Oryzias latipes: one gene and its partner. The protein of the gene in region 1 purifies or fractionates together with the protein of each later gene. This does not show direct contact. Links are inferred from orthologs where the notes say so. Each region holds a gene or a part of one and is shown on either strand. Other genes may lie near its edges. The genes, in order: eif2ak3 and tbl2.

Region 1 (3,828 bases):
GGACCTGCTTGACTTTCCCTGCATGGGTTTTGCACCGGCACTAACCCTAAGGGAGGCTCAGAGGAGCGTTTTACACTGCTGCTCTGCGCCCGGGTCTCGTCTCTGGATTGTCAGGTTGGAGATGGAGATTTTATTTAAAAAGACAGCTTTTTCAATGCTTTAAGGGGCTAGTATTGCTGATTTCTTACTCCATTTCAATAAAGATGCTAATATTGACTCAAAGATTATGGGGGCAAAGCTTTTTGCTGGGCGGGCGGGCAGCTGCCCCCCTCCCAACCCCCCATAGCTCCGCCCCTGGGATGAAGTCTGTTTTTGCCGATATTTCTCTTATTTTGGAGACAAAGCAAATCTCCGGACGGAATGAGAGGCGCACAGCTGTACGAATGGAATAGAAGAGTTTATTAAACTTAGACTTTTAAGAAGTCGTCATACTCCAACGCGCTCCGGGAAGCACATTCATTACAACTCCAACCCAGCGAGGATTGATCGCAGCATCAAAACATAAATAAAGCAAACTGACATATTTACAAATTCACTATGGACAGTGTGATGGGAGGCGGGGCTCGAGGACACCACTTCATCAACACGATGAAGAGGAGCAGGTGGGTGTTCTGCTGGGAAAGTTGGACTCCTCATCATCGAAGCTCACCTTCTCAGTAACTCCAGACCACCTACTGGATGAAAATGTTTCCTCAAACCAACATTAAACTCTTTGACCAAGACTAAGAAGTAGAAAAAAATTGTACAAAAGGTTTGTCCAAAAAGGGTTTGATGAAGAAGAGCGTTTTCGCCTTTCAGCTCTGGAAGCTTCATGATAACCTCTGCAGTTCACGGCGGCGGGAGGAGAGCCCGTTAAACCAGCGAGGACGGCGCTCTTCAGGGCGGATGAAGGAGCATCATCAGTCGGCTCTGCAGTCGTCTAAAAACACAGCAGAATTCTAAAAAAACTGCACTTTGTGTTAAAAAAATGAAGGTTTTCCTTTTTGGAAAAGTACAGTCTTTGAGAGGACTTCTACAAAATAAGAGTTTGTGTGTGTGTAGTTCCTAACAAGTCATGTGACTCTCCCAGCACTTCAGAAGAGGATCATGTGATCAGGTCCAGGCCCCCCCCGCAGTGCATAGGGTCGACCCGGCGCTTTCTGCCCCGGTGTGCCGTGTTTCCACCAGCGGGATGGGGTCGGGTCAAGACGGATAACGAGGCGAGTTATCGGTTACAGAAAAGTACACTTCACTGACTTTCAAATGGCACTCTGGTACCTGCAGCAGCCCCCCCCCCAGCTGTTCAGACCCAAACCCTCCGGTCGGGTCCACTAAAGAGCAAAATGAGAAAAAACAAAACAAAAAAAAACAATGAACAATTTGTTAGAGGTGACCGCCACCGTGTGTCTGGAGGTCCCACCATGACATTCAGCTTTCCGTTAACGGCAGAGGTTGTCCCCTCTTCGCCTCCCGTGTCACAGTATATCACACTATCTTACAGTTTCTTCATTAAAAAAAAGCCTTTAACAAGTCGAACTGTCTGTACAAGATCCAAAAAAAAACAACGGAGAGAAACGAGGTTCCCCCCCAGAGAATATGTACAGTTAGAAAATGATTGTCCCTCTGAGAAAAACCCATCAGCTCACATTCAGCACCACACTTCCCCATAGAGACACCAGTCAAATGCCCAGCATTCCCTCTGAGGGGTCACTGGCCCCGCCCTCAAGGTGATTGGCCTGGATGGAAAGCTTCTCTCTAGGAAATACGTTACTAACTCTTTAAAAAAAAGAGAGAGGGCAAAGGTCCTTTTTTGGTCTTTCGGGTCAGGCATGTAGAGGATGTGGACAGCAGGTCCCTGGAATCGGGAGGATGGTGGGCGTCAAAGGTCCCCTGTGGAGAGTCGTCCTGCAGGTGTGGGGCGAGGTGAAGGTGAGCGAACACTGACCGACCCAGAAGGCGTTCCAGCAGGTTTGGAGGAGCCCAAGACTGAGGTTTCAGTTGGAGATCAGCCGCCATGATGCAGACGTGTTTATCATCCACAGCTGAAGTATCTACACCCATCGGCGGTTGGCGGTTGTGGTCATGAACACATGCCTGCCTTCTGTGGGACAGTCTGAACTGAAACTAACGAAACACAAAAACCCCAAACTGTGCAGGATCTCCTGAAAAAGCGATGCGGATTTCTGCGGCTTTGTGTTTCAGGAGGACCCGGCCTCCCAACAGAGGGGTCACCGAGGGTCACCGCAGTCACGTGTTTCAGGTGGCGGAGGTTTGGCGTGAGGGCCGGCCCATTGAAGATGAGCTGTAGGTGCGGGAGCGCTGCCTCACAGCCAGCCGGCAAGGCAGCTCCAGCTCCTGGAAGAGGGGCGTTCCTGTGATGTCGGCCGCCTCTGGGCGTTCGCTGGGGCTCAGGGAGAGCATGCTGCGGACCATGCCCAGCTGGAAGCAGACAGAAAACACAGCCGAGTGCAATCAGAGCCGCCGTGATGCAACACGGACATCCTGTCGAGATGAACGCACGCAACACAACATGAACACAACTGAAGGAGTCCGAAAAATCACTGACTGGAAACTTTTCAAACCTTGTTTTTAGACATTGAAGATATTTGAGCAGGTTTGAGGCGGCTTAACGCCTTTTCAAGCAACGTTTTTGTCTCAGATATCTAGAAATAAGACAATTATTATTATTATTAAAATGAGTCCATTTTAGTTTAAACTCTTGACAATAGAAAAACATGTATTTTTACTTTAAGGATGTCATTTTACAGCTTAGACTGACCCTCATTGGCAACATTTTAAAAAACAAAAATTTTGATTTACAGTATCTTCTGGGAAGAAGTGCTAGTTTTAGATTTTATGAGGATTTATAAAGCTGCGCCAATTTGTACCAAGAATCTGTTCTAAGTTTGCTCACATTTTATTCTGAAACGAGTCGCACACGTTCTAAACACAATGAACTTCAAGGAGGCACAGAAAAACTCCAAAAACACGAACCATTTGCTTTAAACCAACAAAAAATACTAATTATTGGATGGAATAACATCTCATTTGCAGTAATTTTGCATTTAGCAAAATGTCTACTTTTTTTTTAATGCTTGTGTGGAAGTCCTTGTTTGTTAGATGTTATTATGGGATAGTTTGCATAGTAAAAACAACTTCCTGGACAGATAAATTCAACACTTTCTAGTGATTTTCTTCTTTAGATCAGTGCTCTTTAGCTTTTATTAGACTACCTCTTTCTACAGAGCTAAATCTACTACTCTGTCAGATTTTTAACAACAGTAATCATGTTTCTGGTGCACTTCAGTGACATTTGTAGGTCTACTTATCTAATCGTCTTTGGAGTCAACCTAATCCAGATAATCCCGTTTATTAAATTATTATTGAAGGTCGTTTATCTCCCAGATGACGTGACTAACATACCCCCCTGTTTAGCTTTAGATCAATGTTATTTTAAATAATTAGTCATTTAACGGGTCAAAAGGGGCATTTAACTAATGTGGTACACTTGTTCAATACCTGCTGAAAGGACCCAATTATTTAATTGGCTTAAAAAAACCATTTCCCGTTGGCAGGATGTCAGCTGTGTGTTCATGAAGACCGGCTCAGGTTTTAGGTGGAAACTCATAAAATGCTTGTTTTCTCTGTGACTGAGCACAGAATGACTGTACAGTGGTATTACAGCTGCTGGGGCACAAAGTGAACCCAGACTCATGAGTGTGTGGTGCCACTAGATGGCAGCAGACGACCTTCACTCACCTCCTGACTGTTGTTTCTGGAGAAGACCTCTGGGAAGCGCAGCACTCTCACCTCCGTGAGGGTCTAGGAGAAGGATGCAAACACCTGTGA
Region 2 (2,773 bases), on another chromosome or scaffold:
CGGAAAAAAGTTTGAAGTGATGATGGTTGGACTGACCTGCCGCATGGGGACACAGCAGCATAAGAATTGGTCATTTGGTTAGTGTTGATGGAGGCCAGAAGATCTCCTTTCAGGTCCCAGATGAGAATGTTGGTGTCTGTAGAGGCGCTCATTATAAACTTCCCTGAAGGAAAGAAGAAAAATTTGCCCTAAAACCTGTGAAAAATGATGTCATAGAAAAAAAAAGTTGACCCATGACATCCATAAATACAATGAAAGCTACTACCATGTCAACTAAACACACAAAATAGCAGGAAGTTCCCTGGGAAGCCTCATTGGTTGCTGTAAAATCATTTGTTAAATGTTCTTGCAAAAATTACAGCGAAAGCCAACATGCAGCTTCAAAGACTCTCTCCGTACCCGTCTCAGCGATGCCGATGTTCAGAATGGCCGCCTTGTGTTTCTGAGGGAAATCCTCCGGAGCGGCCTTGAAGTTAAAAGTGCCGTCATCTTTTTTGATCATCTTGAAAATGCGAACAGTGTCTCCGTTCGCCAGCCAGGTGATGAACGCTCTGCAGTGGAAAATACACAGCGAGTCTCTTAAAGCACATTTTCCGACATAAGTTCTGCACTTCCGATGCTGGATGGATGAAAATAGAAAAGGATAGTGCCGGAGAGTGTAAGAAACTGTAACAGATTCAAACTAAACTCTTCTTTGAATAATCCACATCAAATCAGTCTCTACCTCCAAAACCCAATATCAGTTCATCAAATCCATACATTTGTTTTCATTTAAAAGTAACCCATCAGCTTTTGTTACAATGCTTTCAAAATAAAAGCATTACCGCTTATCTTCAGAATAAAAATCGCTTAGTTTTCAATATTATTAATGGTTTTTTTCATTGCAAGTTACACCTTTTTTTAGTTTATATCTCTGTGTATGCAATCAGTGGTTTTCGTAACCAAATCATATATATTTAAACAAATGACCTCATAAATCGCTTGTGAATCTAGTGGATTCAGAATCTTGGCGGCGGACAGCCAGTCTGCAAAACAAACCTGGAGTCTGGACTGAAGCGGACCAGCAGGGCGTGATCCAGCTCCACATTAGCTCGCAGACATTTGTGTTCTCGGTCCAGGAAGTCTTTGGTGCTCCAGATCCGGACGGTGCGGTCGTCGGCACAGGAAGCCAGGTACTTCCCATTGCTGCTGAAATCGAGGCACGTCACTTTCCCATTGTGGCCCTGAGGAGCAGAATGCAAACGGAGGACTGCAGATCAACTCAGGCTCAGGTTTACAGTGTAAAGTTAAAAGCAGCAGGTGGTGAAGGAAGTCGACAGATATGGAAAAGCTACACAATCCTCATGGTTATATGAACTTTACATGAAATGGTGACATTAGTGCTGCCTCATTCTGTCCAAAACAAATCTTTCTTTGTGAAAAACAGAATAAATATCTAAAAATATATGAATACGCCAATTATAGCCATATTCAGACTTACTGAATGAGTTGGTTCGTGGATTTTGAAAACATTTTATGATAGAAATAAACTGATTTCCCCACAAAAGAGGATAAGTTCATAATAAAACAGGTCAAACGTTTTATCTTTCATTAATTGACTTTAAATTTTAAACAAACCTATAGTTCAGTGTCTTTAATGAAATTAAAAAAAATAATTAAGAGCTAGTTTTTGCTGTAAATTTCCCCTTTTTTAATTCCAAAATATTACATTTTAGTGAACAATTTTATATTTCATCCACCCATTTATCAAACTAAGCATTTGAGCTATAACCAAAAAAATATTTTTTGAAAATTAGAGAAGATTTATCAGCCAATGGAAGGTATTTTTTAATGTATGGACATGCTTTAAGAGGTAATACTAAAATAATTTGTTTTTTCTAAGGTGTTTGAAAGTAGTTAGGTAGCCCCTCTATAGCAAAGCAGATGACTTCTGTGAAAACAAGCAATCATACTTCCAAGCCCAATGGGCGTAAATGTTTACAAGATGGTGTTTTTCTCTGTTCTCCTTTTTCCTTCACCTTGACCTCCAAGTAGAATTCACTGCTTCACCAGGACTGTCTAAAATCTCATGAGGAACTCTGGGAAGGAGGCTCTCTCTTGCTCTTCAGCCCACTTTGTGAATGCATGTGTGCAGCTCAGTCCTCTGAGAGTGTGGGAGGTTTGTGCACAGGTAAGACAAGGTACCCTGCACACCTCGCGTTGCTTATCGTTTTGTTATACACACTAGGTAAGTTGTTGATCTCACCTATTACATATTTTGGATCCCTTAGTCTGTGAGACTTTTCTTGTTTTATGATACTGATAGCTAGGCCGTGTTTTATTTTATTTATTTAACTCCTTTGGACCAACCTTGGTCCCTACCTCCACATCTCCCTTTTTTATGTCAAATGAAAAACTTAAATAAAAAAACCATCATCCACCGTGTGTCTTATGCTGTGGGACCATCCTGCCCCAGACTTATGCTTGTATGGATGTACCAGTGTTAAAAAATAAATACAGCTGCTAAAAAAACTAAGTAAAAATATTGCAGATTACTCAACAGGTCTGTGATTTTCCTTTGACACGTGTGCCAGTTCACCTTCAGTGAGGCTGCCAGCAGAGGATGACTGAAAGTGTGCAGAGTCGGTTTATCTTTGCGGCTGCGCTGCTGCTTCTCCTGCTTCTGCTTCTTGGATGTCGCTCCTTTCACAGAACTGGCATCAGCTGAAAGCAAACAGAGGTTTATACCTTCTATGAGTGAATCTGTGAGATCAGGTCACTCAGTGTTGCACAG

Evidence for each region.
Region 2: the proteins of eif2ak3 (region 1) and tbl2 purify together in Homo sapiens (affinity purification with western blotting; 3 studies listed by BioGRID). This does not show direct contact. The link is inferred for Oryzias latipes from reciprocal best matches to the Homo sapiens genes EIF2AK3 and TBL2.

What each region holds. Positions count from the first base shown.
Region 1 is NC_019880.2:22,050,151-22,053,978, forward strand, and holds the end of eif2ak3 (eukaryotic translation initiation factor 2-alpha kinase 3), read right to left. Parts: intron 3,802-3,828; coding exon 3,739-3,801; intron 2,419-3,738; coding exon 2,236-2,418; 3' UTR 379-2,235; downstream 1-378. UniProt on the Homo sapiens protein: Metabolic-stress sensing protein kinase that phosphorylates the alpha subunit of eukaryotic translation initiation factor 2 (EIF2S1/eIF-2-alpha) in response to various stress, such as unfolded protein response (UPR).
Region 2 is NC_019872.2:24,987,755-24,990,527, forward strand, and holds part of tbl2 (transducin beta-like protein 2), read right to left. Parts: intron 2,704-2,773; coding exon 2,579-2,703; intron 1,224-2,578; coding exon 1,039-1,223; intron 552-1,038; coding exon 400-551; intron 164-399; coding exon 37-163; intron 1-36.